Linked DNA regions of Drosophila melanogaster. The protein of the gene in region 4 interacts with the protein of the main gene of each other region in a pairwise test. Each region holds a gene or a part of one and is shown on either strand. Other genes may lie near its edges. The genes, in order: Nadk1a, CG42748, kappaB-Ras and CG18371.

The links.
Region 1: the proteins of CG18371 (region 4) and Nadk1a interact in a two-hybrid assay, tested with the Drosophila melanogaster proteins (one large-scale study listed by BioGRID).
Region 2: the proteins of CG18371 (region 4) and CG42748 interact in a two-hybrid assay, tested with the Drosophila melanogaster proteins (one large-scale study listed by BioGRID).
Region 3: the proteins of CG18371 (region 4) and kappaB-Ras interact in a two-hybrid assay, tested with the Drosophila melanogaster proteins (one large-scale study listed by BioGRID).

The regions. Positions count from the first base shown.
Region 1 is NT_033778.4:13,542,175-13,547,314, forward strand, and holds the start of Nadk1a (NAD kinase 1a), read right to left. Parts: upstream 3,276-5,140; 5' UTR 3,134-3,275; intron 390-3,133; 5' UTR 310-389; coding exon 1-309.
Region 2 is NT_033779.5:22,132,347-22,137,739, reverse strand, and holds the start of CG42748 (uncharacterized protein), read right to left. Parts: upstream 3,408-5,393; 5' UTR 2,633-3,407; intron 1-2,632.
Region 3 is NT_033778.4:7,443,234-7,448,056, forward strand, and holds kappaB-Ras (kappaB-Ras), read right to left. Parts: upstream 2,560-4,823; 5' UTR 2,463-2,559; coding exon 2,349-2,462; intron 2,285-2,348; coding exon 1,793-2,284; 3' UTR 1,364-1,792; coding exon of another isoform or gene 1,116-1,363; 3' UTR 1,053-1,115; coding exon of another isoform or gene 779-1,052; 3' UTR 591-778; downstream 1-590. Other genes in the region: sPLA2 (secretory phospholipase A2), read left to right, coding at 1-142, 210-468; CG30503 (uncharacterized protein), read right to left, coding at 779-1,052, 1,116-1,363; Fa2h (fatty acid 2-hydroxylase), read right to left, coding at 3,168-3,656, 3,721-3,948; CG11125 (uncharacterized protein), read left to right, coding at 4,421-4,478, 4,554-4,823. UniProt on the Drosophila melanogaster protein: Atypical Ras-like protein that may act as a regulator of NF-kappa-B activity, possibly by preventing the degradation of NF-kappa-B inhibitor cactus.
Region 4 is NT_033778.4:14,026,707-14,029,637, reverse strand, and holds CG18371 (uncharacterized protein), read right to left. Parts: upstream 1,019-2,931; 5' UTR 905-1,018; coding exon 572-904; 3' UTR 542-571; downstream 1-541.

The DNA.
Region 1 (5,140 bases), 480 kb from region 4:
ACGCGTGCGTCGTGTCGTGGAATCGAAGTAGCCGTCATCCGGATCCTGTTCGGATTTGGCCTGAATGTTTCCTGGACTGGTGGCCACACAATCATCAGTGGATGCTTGATCCTTGGCCCTTGTGCTGGCCCTATTGGCCGTGTGTTGGATGATTCTCTGTCGCTTTAGCGACGCATTGTGGCGCACGAGGAGATCATTGTACTGGGTCTGCTGATGGCCAGTGCCACTCCAAGCCAGCTTGTAGCTGAAGATCTCCTCCAGGCGATGCTGGTGCAGGGTGGCCAGGTCAATGTCCGACAGGCACGTCATGTTCAAGTCTTTTGATTGCTAATTATGAAATATCACTCAAAATGTTCACAGGTGATTCGCGTTGCTAAAACATTTTGCCACTATAAATTTGGATTGGAAAATTCAGCTTAACATTTCGCTTGGCATTTCTTGGAAGCTCACACCCTTGAAATGGCCCTGATTTTGAGCCAATGGTAAAATAGACGAGTTAACCTTGCTCCCTTTTGCTGGAGGTGTTAACAAAGCTAACATTTTTTGTAACAAAAGAATGCAATACATTTTTGTGGGATATAAAAACGGTAACTGCTTTGGCGCGTGGTAAAAGTTTATAAACAAAAACGATCAGTTTTTTTTGTATTTTGGGGGGAATTTTCGTATTTGAACCGGTTTTGTGTTTCTTGTGAAATTTGTGCAAAATAAATTTGTTATAAGCAATCGAATAGTTTGTTTTGGTTGCTTTTTTATTTTTGTCCAACCTAACGGACCAGCAACGTAGTTCCGGCTTTGACGAAAGAGCCATACAAATCGAGGGAGATGCGAGTCATTAGGAGATGGCTAGAAAGGAGCGACACAAGGCCTCATATGCGTCATTAGTCAGCTTCCGTCAGCGGGGAATTTGGGGTGGTTTAGCGGTATTTGGACTTGGCCAACTTTTATCGCCTGCTTTAGCCAGCACCACGACATAACGATGTCAAGTATAAATCAATTGGCAAGAAATCCGCTGGCAAAGCGGCACGAAAAAATAACTCGGACGTACTAAACACAGTTAGCTTTATAACGAGAAATATAATTAAATCTTTTTCGTTCGTGATCGCGTTTGCGTTTTGGTCAACAACCTTTGAGCAAGCCAAAAATCGAAAAAAAAACGTCCACTTGGACCACAATTAAACAGTCTTCTCTGCAGCTCTTTTGAAAACAACAACCCACTTGGGCATAACAGTATCGCCAGCCATTAATCTAGAAATCGTGACCTGTGTGTGCGATCAGCTTGAAGTTCCCCATCATTTCGGTTTCTTTCCGAAAGTGCCCCATCAGCAGTTCATTAACAGAGGTCGTCCCAAGATTCTGTTGAGTGGCCTGATAAGATGGAGGCCTTAACAGACTGGGGAAGTACCTGTGGAGGAGGTCTTCTTGAAGCTTGGATCCTTGCTGAATTAGCAGGAGTACAGAGAGAACATGGGAAATAGATTCTTCAACTGATTTTATCAAGAATTGCAACTATTATTTGAGGGGCGTATTTGTTATTAAGCTGCACAACAATCCAATCATCTCTTCCCAGTCGTTTCAATCGAGTGATCACTCGCTTTTGGAATTCTAATTAACTATATAGTTATTATATTGCATAACCAAAATGTTAGCATCGCGTGATCCAAAGCCCGCCCGCTCTTCTATTTTTACCCAGATCAGGAAGCAACAAGTAAGCACAAGTCATTGAAACGCTTCTGTAAATCAAACAAACAAACAAAGGAAGGCACAAGCCACCAGTCGCTATATAGCCAGTTACATCCGTAGTAATCGGACTATGACAATAGAGCGAATTGTAAATGACTTATGGACATGAGTTATACAAAGAAAACTGAAACAAAATAGGCGGCGAGCACAAATTAATTAATCAATAAACGGACGAAGCGAGCAGCGCTAAATGCGCAGCGGCATCGACTAAGTGCAGCGATTATCATTGAATGGATCGGCAAGTGGACAAGGGAACTGCACCTACGAATTTGTGTAACCACTTGGCCACAACGTGCCCACATGTCAGCACGGGTTTTGCCATGATATACATAATTCAAATGACGCCTTTCGTTATGAATTCATAGGTTCCAAAGTTGCAAATGCAGGTACTAACGCTGAACTTTCATAGTACACGTGCAACCTTTGTTTTTATTATTAAAATGTAATCAGTGGGAAATTGCTTTGCATAGATTATTAAACAATTAACAAGCAATTTTCACTTTAAAAATAATACATCGAGCTATGGACCGGGCTTAGTCCATGGCTATCTTAAGTAGTAATAAACTACAATATTGACGCTTTGATTTATATAATTTATATATTCCAAAAATGTACTATATTTATAACTAATTTGTTTGAATTATTTTATGAAGCGCCCAGCTAATACAGTGAATACATTGCTTTACTTTCAGTTGTGTGTTCAAACTTTGTGCTAGTTTAGTTTGAATAAATAATTAACCCCCTTTGGGTTTATTTATTCTGGCCAGCAACATTGCTTTATTGTTTATTTAAGTGAGTCAAAGAATGTGACAGTCCAACTAGGTTACTAAATTCTTTATGATCTGTAGTAGATTGGACTCTTTAGAATAAAGAATTATGATCTTTTACACAAATTTGGCTTTAATTAAGTTCAAGCATAAGTTTTTAAATAAGTGCACGATTCAAGGTAGCAACATTTAACGATAGCAACTTATTAGAGGTGATAAGCTCTTATTAAGCAACTAAACTGAGAACCCGACTTGTATAATTTGACCTCCAGTTCTTGAGTGGATTCTACAGATTGAGCTGAGTTTAATGCAGAACCATCTAGCAAAGTCTGCAAGAAGTTGGAGTGTATCTGCAATATCTAGTCTCTGTAGTTAGATGGATTGCTAGCCAGCTGGCTGCAGACCGTAGAAGGAAATCGAAAGTGGGCTTGCGGCTCGGAGCCCAGAAATGCCAAGTCATGTGTGCGCTAGAAAACAGCGTTAACGTTAACGTTAACGTTAACTAGTGGCATGCCAACAAAGTGCTCTAATTACACGTTATATAATCTGTTTTATTTTCTCCTTAGCACTAGCTCGAGCCAAGGCGAAGCTTCCAGCATTCCGGCGGCTTAAACATTTAAACTGACCAGCGATCGACGGCAAGCGGGTAAGGTAGGTAAACGACCGAGTCGAAAAGCGAGCAACAAAACAACGTTCCACGATCGACAGGTGAGTTTCAGTTTGAGAGCGAACACGACCGTGCTGTCCGGTGAATATGCGATAACTGAGCTGCGACGCCGAAAAGGTGATTAAGTTGGACGATTTGTGCGCGATTCCGATTCGAAAATAAAAGTACGCGAGCCGAGCGATTGTAAACAATGAACGGCCAGATCGTTTGGCGGGTTTTTGCCGGACATCGCTGGTTGGAAATCAGCTGAGCGCAGCCACGCGTCATGCATATGTATGTATGCTTTAGAGCAACAGGTGCTCTCACTGTTATGTAAATGTAATCAGCGGCCAGTGGCTGTTTAATTGCTGCTATCAAAATCCCACAAAAATATGATTGATGCATGCAGTCAGCGGGTAATTCCGTTTTATAGCGCCATAAGAACAATCTAAGCACGAAATTATTACTTTTCGAAAAGCTGGCATAACAAAATGTACAGCCCTGTTAACAGAGGCTTTAAGCCTATAATTTCCGACACTCAAAGGAAAAAATCGGAAATTAAGTGCAGAAAATCGATTTTAGTGGCCTGCATCTGGCACATGTCACACATTCGTCACACGTGTTAACAGTAGTTAAAATTCGCAGAAAATTACGAACCCAAACAACATGTGTGGGCCACTCGAGAGGCAAGCATTTTCCCGCCAGCTCTAATTGATTGCCAACAATTCACTATATACTGTATGTACATAGTGTACGTAGGTGGTACATTTCCTTTGCTGTGAAAAACAGGGCTGTACTTATTTGATAACAATTCAAATTTCGTCTCCGTTCGTACTTAAGTTTTGTTTTTTTTAAACCAAACCTCTAATCTCGAGACAGGTTAAAAGGAATGTCTGAAATGAAATGTGATGGTTCAGCAACTGGAAAAGAATTGTATTCCATTTATGTTTAAGACATTATGTTTCTTATATAGTTGTCAAAACAAATGATTTTAAAGAACTAGCAATAACTAAAACATCTGTTATAATAACCGTTTTTTAGACGGATCGATAAAGCAAATGCAAATATAAACTGCAACAGCCTAACAGCTGATCACGAAACAGCTGATCCTCAGCTAGCAAAAAAAAGGCCAGATCTGGCGTGAAACCGCAATCAGGTGTTGTCATCACTTTGAACCGCCCACTTACCACCACATACGCATCTGGAGGTCATCGCTGGCAGTGCCGTTATTCAGGTCAGGACCCGGTGCTGATGATGCTGCAGTGCCTCCTTGTCCCTGTCGTATGCTGTTCACATGGAGCAGCTGATTGTCGTGGTCGTCGTAGTAGGATCCATTGCACTGGGAGGCCGACTTCGGCACCGTTTGCGCGGCCGACGGGGTGGTCGTTGGGGCTGGGTTAACCGTTATGGAGCTAGAGGACTTCATTGTTTTGGCCACCTGCTTGTAGCTGTATGTGTGTATATCTGTGACTGCGCACCTATGTGTGCGCCAATGTGAGTGATGTGTTGTGTTGGCCTCAACTTGACCCACTAACGCGTTGCACCTGCCGACGACACCCACTTTCGATGGACAACTTCCCGATTTTGGGCTAGGCGGCGACTAGCTCCTGATTTGCAATTTCACGAACGCGAGTTTCAATGGGTCCATGTTATTTGTTTTTTTCCTGCACCAATTCACGTCTGTGTGGCAGTTGTGCGCGTAGCAAAAAATACCCATATCAGCAGTTATCACCGTATGGTCACACTAAGGCGCGAGAGTTTAAATTGGTCTTTCGCTTATTATCAGATTTGTTTATAAAAAATAAACAGCAAGTGTTGTTGGGTTTTCAAGTTTACTGGCTTATATGTTTAAATAATAGGTATACCAATGATTTGCTTGGCAACCGAAATAAAACCATCTAGGTTCGTACAATTAAAGTATTTGAGTTACACTGAATATAAAAAAATGAAAAGCTTCCTAAAACTATATACAAAACTTAATTTTTCT
Region 2 (5,393 bases), on a different chromosome or scaffold from region 4:
TTTCGGTATTGTTGTGGCCCTAGTAGTAATTGGCAACGTCCCACATTTTTAAGCATAAAGCCCAAAAGAGGAAAAAATTTACAAAGCCACAATACCGAGACTAACATACCCTTACTGCTTGAACCTTGAACCCAATTGCAGGAAATGGAAATCGCCTTGTTTTATGATATTCGAATCAAAATGTAAGAATATATTTACGATTCTTCGTTTCGAATTTGTATGTAATTGTAGCCAGTTAAATTAAGTTTATTTTTCGGGATTAAAAACAATCAACGTAAAAATAAATATACTTGTACAGTAAAAAAAATATATAAATAGATTAGAAATAGGTAAAATGAGGCGTTTCCGAACCGCATCATAAACCCTCTCGAAAGCTTTCAAGCAGCTCAACGTCCAAACTTTTGAATATTTTTCCTTGATTTGTATAGATGTTTTTGACACGCCCGCTATTTTAAGACATTTTTTATTTAATTCGTTTTTAATAATTGCGTAAAAAGAGTCTAGTGTTTTGTGACTTCACAATACACTATAAAAAATGTAATATTTTGGAACGAGCCTTATCAAATGTTTAGTTTACCGTCATTGTATCTCTAGCTTAAAAAGCTAATGCAGTAAAGTAGCGGGTTTTTCAAAAGTCATAGAATTAATTTTTTATATCGAGCAATTTAGTGTAATAAAAATGTGTGCAAGGGCCTGAAACAACTTGTGTATTCGCTCATACAAAATCTATTGCTCAAAATGGATAGTGATCGTGTTTGTTGCTAAATAATTATAATAATTATCCTTCGCGAATTTTCTACGGAAATGTGTTCTAAATATTTGAATATTTAGGAATTGAAATTGATCGAATCGTTTTCAAGAAATCCAACAGAAATTAAGAAGATATATATTTGTTTTAATCATATTTTCTAATCTGCTGTTGCTTAGACAAAAAACGTTCCAAACACACTTTTTCTTTCATAACAGCATTTGAAAAGCATTTCGTGCAGTGTAAATAGTTACATAAATTGAATTTGAAGTATTATAACGTTTTACAAAGAACTAGAAAGATATATATCCGAAAGTTGAATTGAAAGTCATATTCAGCCGAGTTGATCCAAGAATATATATATACTTTATATGGTCGAAAACAGACCTTTTTGCTACTTTAACCTAAAATTTAAATGACGTATTTTATAATTGTTTATACATCTAGTTGAATTATAATTTCTTTAAGCTAAATCTTTTGGGGACAAAAAACGCTTTTGAGGCTTTGAAAACATACAGTACCGCTTACAGTAGGTTTCACGAAAGACACTAGAATAATTTATTTAATTTAGAACTTCGAATAATTATTGTAATGTCTATGGTTTGACCTTTTCCAATTTTCGAAACGTTGCAGCTCCTTAAAGTGGACTACGATTTAAGCGAAATAAATTGTCGTTGTTGTTGTTGTATAAAAAAAACGTCATTTTTAAAATAGTTTTGGTTCTGTTAGTTTTGTTTTTATATTATTTTTTTATTTTAATTTAATACTTTTAATACTTTTTATTTTAATTTATACTCTCCATAACAAGGGTCCCCAAATGTGTTTGATAGTGTTGATGTGAGGGGAGCAAGGCGGCCACTCAAGCAATCTTAATCCACTGTTTTACGATTCAAATCAGTGTCATAATGGAACGTCAATTGAATATGAACATAAATCTCAGAAACCGTTGGAAAACCCTTTTAAGGTACAGCCTAGTACGCATTTGCGTTCATCTTCGAGGTGACAAACTGGAACTGGACCATGTTCCATAAAAAGATATCGTGAAATTAGTAATTATAACCATCAGGTCCATCAAGGTTGAACTTCTTTTCGTCGGAGAAGGTTACCGTCTTCCACTCCTTGTTCCACTCCGTGTTTTCGGGCAAATCGAAGTCGTGATTTTTTTTCGAGCATCATAATGGAGTTTTTTTTTTCAAATTCTTTAAGTTCGCATTCTTCCCTTATTTTACCATCAGAATGAGTGGAATTTGGTAAGTTCGTATGATAAGTCTTTCCTCCGATGCTGTTGTTGCATGTTTTTCCCTCCACTCATTTTTTATATAGTCTGCTTAGTTACGATCAAAATTGCTAATTGCTTTGACTTCGACCTATTTTCTTCGCAGATTCCATATCCATATAGCCTTTTACTTTACCTCGGTTAAAGCTTTTCCACGGCCATTTTATAAATAAACAGGTATTGAATGTCTTAAATAATAGAATACAAAAGAATGCAACCTTTTTCAACCACACGGTCCAACAAAAAGAGAAGTCAAAAGGGTAAAAGCTATTCAGATGAGCCAAAAACAATGGAGATTTCTTCTTATATAATATAAATAATATAAAAACATACATAATATAAAAACATATAATATAAAAACAAAATTTACAGAACCAAATCTTTGCTATTCCAAGGAGGACTGTTTTCTTTATAAAAAATTTAAAATAGTCAAACCTATTCAATTATGCGGCAGTGTAAGTTCAAAACAACAAACCGCACAAAAATTGGAATAAACATAATTTATTCGGTTCGTTTTTTTTACATGACCATTATGGTAATAAATTTACACAGCTTTTATTTATTTATTTTAAAATATACATGTATAAAATATATATACATCGGTATACCTTGTTTGCGGATCGCTGACTTTATGTTATACGTAGCTGCCATAGAAAGGAATCGTTTTAGTCAAAATTGTACTATGTACTTCGCAGTGGATGGCAGTATTTTATATGGCCGTATTAAACATATCTTTTTTGTGTAACTGTGTAAATGTATTTTCAAATAGAAAGCGGTGAGGTCTCTAAGAGCTTTCTAGTAGCAAATGTGATCATATGCATGTACATACACATACATTTACATGTATTGTGTTGTTGATATGTCGGGAATGCAGTAAACATTTTTATTTATATACAAATCCATGCTTAATTTTTTATTCGGCTTCAACATACATACATCTGTACATAGATACTTATATAAAATAACAATAGAATGTTCAGTAGAAAGAGTCCTGACCGGTTGGGCAATATGACAAGCGCGACAACGAAATCTCCGCGGTCTTCTGGTCACTTTTATAACTTTTTGAAAGGCATTGTATGTTCTCCATGTCTAATTTACAACGAGCTATTTTTTCTTTGCTCTGCTATTTTGTTTTGTGCCCTCAATATTCACGTAAACACTCAGATACACTTCTTTCTCAAAACTACTGTAAACGAAAGCTGGAGAAATAGGCATTGTTCATATATTTATATGTACAAATGTGTACATCCTATATACATATGTACATCGTACATATATCCACAGACGAAATACATATGTAATTGGGGCGGCTACAGACACATTGAAAAGACCGCACGATTGCAAATGGCTAACTCGCAAAGACAACGCTCAGATAGAGACTGAATTGAGCGGAGCAAAGCTGTAAACGTGTCTTAGACTAAACGTGGCCGAGAGAACCGAGATAAAGCGGAGACACGAAAGAGGCACGAGAGAGATCCGTTTAAAGCCATGAGCAAGGCGAACAAAGAAACTGGTTAGAATACAGGCAGGCTTGTTCCAAAACATTGGGAATCAAAGAAGAATCTCGGCTAGAGAAGGGCGCGACGAAAATGGCATGAACCCTTTTTATACCCACTTAAATGGGTATGACTTAAGCCAAAAACAAAATACGCAGACAGCTTTGCGATTTTTGTACATACATACATAATTATGTATGTTGCATATATATATGCACGTATATCTGACATTACCGCTGCAGTGGAGCGGTAGAATGGGTTGAAAGCGGGTTGAAAGTATGTATGCAAACGTTGAAACTAACAACATTTTTTAAAATATTATACATATTAGAATAGTTCAATTAAATACATACAAATATACGCAATAATATATACAGTTTGTCAAGAAACTGTTTACACACTGTGAAATAAGTTGAATTTTTGACTTTAAAGCTAAAAATTAAAGGTTTTTTGCTTAATTAAACGCAATTTTTTTATTCAATATAATTAAACAATATTTATTTTACTTATAAATCAAATCAAATTAAAAATATTAAATATACAAGAAAATAAACACCAAATTCCAAGTTTGCACATATTTGAGACTGTCAAGAAACTCTTTACACAAAACACTAAATCGAAGTTTAATTCTAAATTTTTTAATTATTTTATTAAAATTTTAAAAGTTTTAGTATGTTCCCCATATATATACGCGTATATTTAATACCAATTATTTGAAATATAGGTTAAATATGTATATGTAAATGTTCGTAAAATTTTTTTAAGTAATCAATACAAAATCAGATTATTGTTTGCAAACAAAAGAGCTTTTTTTTAAATTTTATTTTTATTTCTTGTATATTACAAAACAAATTAAAATCTGTAAAAGTCCTTGGCGACCAACATATGTATGTACATATTTATGTAGTAAGTGCGGTAAGACCTATTGTGACTATGGATAATAACTATATTGCAAGTGTAGATATTATTACCATTCTGCGATATATCTCTTACATCGAAGGCAATAAGATATTTTTTGTAGTGCCTGAAGTACCCTTAATATACTACCGTGGACGATAGTGACGAAGCGCACTAGAAAAGTGTGCGAAGGCGACTATTATGTGTACATATGTATGTAATGTACATATGTATGTTATACTCGAAAAACTACATGGAAATCTGCGGCAGCTTTCCAATCAACAAGATATTCACCAATTGGAAAAAACCGCTAAACCTGAGTGGGCGTGGCCAAAAATTGTTTGGCGTCTTAGGAATCTGCATGTCAAATCTCAACTCTCTAACTTTATAAGTTCTTAAGATCCAGGCGTTCAGACGGACAGATCGTTTAATCCTGATCAAGAATATATACACCCTATATAACGGGTATAAAAAATAGTAACATTCTAACATATACATTTGGTATATACGGACTTTCTTTATAAAAATGTAGCAATTTTTTAATCGACACAGTTTTTAATCGGCACAGTTATCTTCAACTTTTTATACCCCTGCCCTATTTTCGTAGAGTAAAATGGGTGTACCAGATTCGTTGAAAAATATGTAAGAGGCAGAAGGAAGAGTTTCTGACCATGTAAAGTAAATATATTCTTGATCAGGATCAATAGTCGAGTCGATCTGGTCTTGTTCGTCTGTCCGTCCGTATGAACTCAGGAACTATGGAAGCCTATAGAGTTGAGATCAAGCATACAGATTCCAGCCACGCAAGTCACGCTCACACTTTTGTAAAATGTTTTTCCATTTCTTCATTAGTAAACACCCACAGTTTTGAAAAAGCGTTGAAATTTAATTTTTTTTTTATTTTACAAATATTTAATTTTTAATATTAACATTATGTATGCCTCCGTATGCTACGAAAACCAAATTTTTGGTTTGG
Region 3 (4,823 bases), 6.6 Mb from region 4:
GCAACACGGCGGCGAACTTCGAGGATTTGGGCCGCGAACGGGAGACGGACAAGTGCTGTCGTGCCCACGACCATTGCGACGAGATTATCGAGTCCCACGGAGCACTCCACGGACTGCCCACCAACACAGACTGGTTTCCCATGTAAGCGGTAAACCTCCTAAAGTCCCTTATCGATTTTGTGCACATTGACAGACACTTTTCAATTTAGCCTCAAGTGCACCTGCGAGCAGCAGTTTATCAATTGCCTGCAGGCAGTGAACAGCATCACGGCCAAAACTCTGGGTCGTATCTACTATGGCAGCAGGAGCAGGTGCTTTGCCAACGGACATCCCACCACCGGATGCAAGCAGTACCAGGAGGGCACCTTCCGCAAGCGCTGTATCCGCTACCAGGTGGACAAGTCCAAGGCCAAGGTCTGGCAGTTCTACGACATGCCGTTCTTCACAATCCCAGCGTCGGCGGGCTGACATGATATCAACGATTTGTAGACAAGATGATTACATTACCTGATGCGCACATCACATTAATTATTACTTATAAGGTAATCCCACTTTAATCTGGATGAAATATAAAATACTCCGAATATTTTCTTGATCATTTTGAACTTTAATTGAGCCTCCGAATTCAGTTTTTAATATAATTCCAGGCTACTTAGCCTTAAGCTTCGAAAATTTATTACACAAATAACCTACCGTCAAAATCCTAATCACATTAGGTTTCGCTCCCCGCACAATCTGTTTTGTAAACAATTGAGGGCTTATCGCCGGACGTCGAAGTTCAATCTCGGGAGTCCTCCTCGCTGCCGCTTACGTGTGTGTAGAGGGCCAAGTCGTAGAACTGCCAGCGCTGCGGCTGACCTTCGTCCACTCGGTAGCTGAGACATCGTGTCTCGAACAGGTCGGCCTGCTTCTCCTGGCAGGAAACGATGGGATGCCCGTAGCCAAAGCACACCTCCTTGGTGTTGAAGTAGATTTTGCCAAGAGCCAGGGAGTGTCCGTTTCGCAGAGCGGTGAGGCAGTTCCGGAAGGCCGACTCGCAGGCACACGAGAATCTGCGGGGAGCGCACGATTATTGATCCCAAGATCAGCATGGGTGCTATGGAATCCACGCTTACATGGGGAAAAACCCGTCGTTTCTCAGGCCAAAGGCTTCCTCCAGCGGCGGAATCTTCTCCTCACAGTTGTCGTGCGCCCGGCAGCACGTGTCCACTTCGCGCTCAGTGCCCAGGTCATCGTAGTTGGCTGCTATGTTCCCGGGTCCACACCACTTTGTGCCCGGAACTGTAATGCTCAATCCCGCAGCCGCATGGCTGGCATAGATCAGCGTTAGGAGAACAGTAAGAAAAGCGGCACGCGAAAGCATTGCGCTCGAGGAAGGGGCTTGCAGACGACTGATCCAAGGGGATTGCCGTAGAGCAGAATTTCGGCATGGTTATTTAATCACTACGCGCCATTTGAGCTGCGATTGAGCAGTGAATACTGATTACGCTTAATTCTCGCGGAATGAGAGAAGACATGTCGGTGTAATAAATAGTAGATACAATTGGACACACACAAAGAGACATAAGTACAAGTGGCTTGGGCTCTGGCCCACATTAAAGCACAACAGTTAATACAAGGCAAGTAGACTCTAAATGGATCAATACGAGTACGATTGGGGAGATCCCAAGGATCTCTTGAACTTAAAGCCAAATCTGTGGCATTCATAGCTACTGTTAAGTATCGGAGATTATTGGGACACTCCCGAATAAAACTTAAATTATATCTCTTCCCTTTCGTCCGTTCAAAACAGCTAAGCCTCGCTCTTCTGCCGGTTCTGCATAACTTGGCGCAGCTGAGGGAACGTGCTCTTCGTCTGCATTGGGTGCAGCCGGGCGCAGAGCGTGGTGAATGGCTCGTAGAGGGAGGGACGCTCCATGGCGTTCACCGTGTAGTGCTTTATGCGCTCTCGCTGGCACCAGATGTTGGCGCGGTCCATGACCTTCTCGACGGGATTTGGGGCTGCTCGTGCCCTCACGTTGGCCAGCACCACAACGGGAATCTCCTTCTTCTCCTTGTGCTTCTCAATGTCAGCCTTGATGTCGGCCAGCATGTCAAGGCTGCGCGGATCCATGGGATCGTAGACCAGAACGAATGCATCTGGAAACTGAAGGTAGTGGCGTGGCAGCTGCTGCTGCTCGCCCTGCAATCCGGCCGTGTCGTAGATGCGCAGGGTCTCTCGGGCTCCGCCCCTGCCTGTATCCACGCTGGCCACGTAGATATCCTCAATGGTTGGATGCAGTTCCTGCAATGAACTCCGGGATATGAGACATCAGCTTTACTTTGAGCTCTGCCAAAGGCATTCTCACCGTTTCGGGATTGACGTGGCCGTAGACCAGCTGCTCTATCAGCGCCGTCTTGCCCACGCCCTTCATCCCGCACACCAGTACCTTGCCGACCTTCCCGATCTTGGCATTTAGCATTATTCCAGCAGGAGAAATTGGGACCCAAAAAAATAAACAAAACTTTCGCTGGATTCTTGGTAGTGTGACCAAGCAACGCCAATGAGAAATTCCACTTAAGACAGGTCTTAAACAATTATCTTAAGCTAATTTTAATAATATAATATTAATTATTAAACAAACTTGAACTGATTGTACCAGATTTGTATGAAATAGGTAAATGAAAGTGTTCATACAAACCGTCTGTCTGCTTCTTTATTTATTCGATTTTAAACAAAAATATTTAAACGCTCCAGAGTGATGATAAGGCATTTACCAAAGGAATTAAAAGTTAATCAAAGTATTCCCTCTCATATATAGGTAAGGTACCAAACTTCTAATGTAAACTTTGGTGACGCATCATAAAATTGCCGAAAATTTTTTGTTTTTCCCCAAAATAGTTCCAAAATAGTTCCAATAGTTCCTTTGATTGCCCAGTTTTCTGTTTTCAAAAAGGATTTTCCATTTGTTCTTTGGTATCATTGGAAGTGTATTCCTGTTTAATAGAAATTGGTAAAAGTCTTACAAATAATTCTTAAGCCTAATGCTCAGTATTCAGCCTACACAAATAGGCTAAAAACCAAATTTCCGATTTGATTGAACTATTTGCTGCGGCAGCAACTCTGTTGCGTTGAAAACTGAATGTAATTTGTTCTATAGTAGCACTGTATTAGCCATTTATTGCAGCTAGGACCAGCGCAGTTGGTATCTCAGCTTGCGGAGATGGATTCTCGTTTTGAAGACGACATCCCACAAGGGACTGCTGATGCCGTAACCGAGAGTTTGGTGCGAGAAGTGGTGGTGGTGATGATAGCGCTTCATGTGTACAAAGGCCCATAGCGAAGGGTTCCCATAGTGCAGGTAGTAGTGCATCATATCGTAGCACAGATAGCCGGCCAGAGCTCCAGACAAGATCACTCGCGGATGGGACAGGACAAAGCTGAGCGGGGTGTAGATGACCGCGGCGAGCACTGCGCCGGGAAGGGGCGGAAACACCAGTCGCATCGGATCGAAGGGCACCTTGTGGTGCAGGCCATGGATCATGAAGTGGAAGGTGCATAGCCAACTTCCGCTCTTGTTGCTCAGCTTCACGTGGAACACCCAGCGGTGCAGTGTGTACTCCAGGAAAGACCACAGGAGCACGCCAAATAAAAAGTAACCGGAGAACACAGCCAGCTGCAGAAAGAAGATACTTTTAGAAGATCGTATCCAAGAATGCGAAGATTGCGCGACTACTCACCTGGTTGCTATCCTGCCAGGCGGTGGTGAACTCCTCCACGGCGCATTTCACGATCACTGGTATCCAGAACAGGGGCACCAGCCACCAGGGCGTCTTGGTGCACATCTCCAAGTACCAAGGGTCAAAGAGACGCAGTGGCCTGTCCACCGGCTTGTGAACCCACTCATCGTAGCAATCCGTTATGTTAGCTATCTGCGGAAGCATTGCCTTAGACCAGTCCACTAGGTGCTGGAATTCATGAATTTACAATAGGTTAGTCAATAAATTAATACAGTATGTATTACCATAAATTGGTTTGGTTAATTACCTTTGAAAATTAAATATTTAAAATTAGAAGCTGTGCAGAGTTTTTATTTTATTTTATATTTTTTTATTTATTTTATTTTAACTTTACTATAATTACAGAATAGTAAGAATTTCACTTGATTTCTACTTGCTTTTTTATTTAATATTTACTTAAACACTAGGACATCCCATAAACCGTTAGTTGGCTCGAATGTGGCCAGCCGCGGGTCAGCACCGAACCGATATATAATGTTATCGGGCATCGATGAGCAGGTACAATCACAAGCAGCTGGTTCAAAATTGTCATTTGAACCTGTGCCTTACTTCACACAACGACGCAGTTTCCACTTGTCGTAGTCGAGATCACATTTCTGGAGCCCCAGCCGTCTAGTTATAGTTCGGGAGTAGGTGGAACATGTCGAATACTTCAGTTCGCCCGATTCCAACGTTAAAGGGCATCTTTTCGGTGCCGCGTAAGATTTCTTTTCCAAACAGCCGCTTGGCCATGGCAACCAGTTGGTAATTTGTTTTGGTCTCCGTTCCCACAGGCGTCACACAGTCCCGAAACTTCCTCAAGGAAAACAAGGTGAGCCTGCGCTCGCTGGAAAAGTCCACCAGCCAGAAGTTGGCCGCTAAGGAGCCGACGCGCCCGAAATGGATGCCCCCGCTGCGACGCTCTTCCTCCGTGATGGGAGACTCGAAGGCGGAGAAACCAGCAGCTAAGGGCAAAACTATAAAACAGAACTCGTTGCAAAATGGCCGCAGCACCTCTCGCTCACAGCACCAACTGGCCGTGGCCGTTCCGGCGGAGGGGGAAC
Region 4 (2,931 bases):
TCCTTCCGCCTTGAGAAGTCACGACTTACTAGATTTTCACCTTCAATCAAATAGTCAATCTGTTCTTGTTCAGCGCACTGCGATAAATATTTGTGGCTCTCTGTTGTTATTCTAGATTTTCCTTATAGCCAGTATTGTCTGTTGCCTGTTGGCTGCTGTTTGTGTGCCGTAAAAACTCATTGCCAGTTTGGGGCGTCGCTCAACTGGAAATGTGGCCAAGCCGAGGCTAAAACTGAAGCTGAAGCTGAAGCTGCAGGTGTCTGTCTAACCAAGTCATCTCACATATATATATATATACATATGTACATATATTTACTTTGTAGATACATATATTAAAATAAGTACATAGTGGATGTGCCAGCCTCCATGTAATTGCGCTGAGCATTTCTTTGTGCGGCTTAATTAGTGGCTGGCAGCAGCCTGTTTTTCATTTTAGAGGTTTATAAATGATGCTCGCAGAAGCACAACTGGGCTCCATTCGTAGGCAGCTCAATTTAAAGGTCCAAACAAATAGTTACAGCAAATACACAGTTCCAATTTTCGGTAGTAGACTACAAGTCTAAATTCTTTATTAAATGGCCTTTTTCGTTGCTGCCACATTGTGGTAGCGAATCGAGAATCGGCTAAAGTTGTGCGAAGTGATCTCCTTGGTGGGCGTGAATTCCGCCCGCTCGATAATCGAGCGCGGACTGCCGATATTCAGTAGCCAGAACTTCAGCACGTTGACCTTGGGCAGTGTGCCCTCCAGCTGTCCCTTCACCGTGCCCTCGTCCGTGTTCATCACCCACCCGCGCACCTGGTTCATTGTGGCCAGATCTCGTGTCTGCTTCCGCAAACACACACCCTGTACTCGCCCGAAGAGTTCGAATCCGCAGGAGAAGATCTGTTCCGCTGGCTGCATCATCTTCAATATGCTTCGTTTTTTCTAGAAATAACTCCAACTTATTGTCGATCGAGAGAGAGATAGAAACAGAAACTCCACTTGTTGAAATTTAGTTGATTTTTGTCAGTGTTCGTTACAGGAATGTCGCAAGCTCCTAGATTCCCTTAAGCAGTTAAGTGTTTCCTTTCGGAATGTGCGCTCTGCAGCACAGTGAAACCCAAATAATGTTAACACAAGCAAAACTTGCTAAAATTAAATGTTAAACTACTGGGTGTCAATGATATCGCCATTATGTGCTTAAATTAAAATCGACGAAAGAAATAGGGAGTTTACGTTGGAAAAAGGAGCAGTGTATCGGCGAGAGCGCTAATGACATTGTATCTATTGTATATCCATAGCGTATAGCGTATCCCATATCAGCACTGGGGACTCATAAATCACTTGCCACACTCATTCGCACACACGCACACATTCACATGCGACGCCAAGTTCATCTCATGGCAATCCAATCAACTGGCAATGCCACAAAAGTTTGCAACCACCAAACCAGAGCCGAAACCCTCCCCCCCCCTTGTTCCTCTTGCCAGCAAGCCTCCTTCCTTCCCCCTTCCCCCTTCCCCTTCCCCTATGGCCCATGGACACATGAACACCCCCCTCGAAAATGGCAAAACACCACCTATGGGCAGCGCGAACAATAACTAGCGAGATAAACAGACAACATTCGGCGTTAATGCAAACGCGAAACGCCGACATCGCAGGCGATACTAAGGCAAATATTTAATACGATATTTATGGCCTAGGCACAGGATCAAGTGCAAGCGGGATGGGTAGACAGAAAGAGACCAAAAGGGAGAGCATGGGGAAATGAGGTCCTTTGAGCCAAGGTATTTGCAAAAGATGCCTGTGATAAATGACTACAGTTACAAGTACTCGTCCGACAGCTTCCAGAAATTGGTTTCCCGATGACTACATAAATTATACTTTTTCACAATTATGTCTAAGGTTTGTAAGGAAGACTATTAAATATTAACGATACGATATATTCTCTAGAAATTAACTGCTTTTCATTCTTCCACCCTGACGTTAGCGTGCAACCGAAAAGATTTTCCCCCTTTACCATCTACATTTTAAGAAACCAAACGTGTACGTATGTTGAAATGGCCCTAAAGCTGTCAATTTGGTTAAGCGAATTTAAAAGTTTTCGCAAAGTGGAACCAAAGGCTTCCAATTTGGCCGGCACACTGTGGCCAATCCAACTCGAACTCCGTTCGTCGTGTGCCCATTCAAATGAAACACAGCACGAGCCTCGGGTTCGTTTCGAGTTTCAGGTTGGATTTCAGGTTGAGACCGCCACCGACGTCTCCATCGAATTCGCAGTTCCGTCGCTGCCTCCGTCGACGTCCGTTCGATACTGTTGTTGTTGCTGCTGCTGCTGTTGTTGTTGTTGCCGTCGAGCCGAAGGTGAGCAAGCCAAATCAAACAAACCGAAGCGCAGCAAAAAAAAAAGTACGTTGAAACGCTTGAAGGGACTTCGCATGCCTCGCCGTTGGAGCTACGAACGAACGGGTATATATGTTTGTATGTACATGTAGGCATAAGTATAGGTATCGGTATATCTATAGATACTATAGCTCATGCTGTTGCTGCCAGAAACTGCGCTTCAATTGCGACAGCAGCAACAACAACAACAACAGCAAGTCGGTAAACAAAACTCAGCTTCTCCGAAGGCAAACTGCGTGAAGTGGGAGAAAGAGAGCCACCAGCAGCTAAGAGAGAAATTGTGAGAAATTGAGTGATCTTGCAGAACGGATAAACACCAGATAAGCAAGGCTAACAGGGAAAATTCAACTGCACTTAATCACTGATATCAACAAAGGGGGTTTCTTTAAAGATCAATTTTGTATATAAATATATATATATACATAAAGTGGTCATACCAAAAAATATGTATTATTGTTATTAAGTTATTTCCTTGTGGTCTTGATATCATCTTTATAGATTAGCTGATTTTCATAGTTGCAACATATTTCTTGGATTTTGAAGTTTCA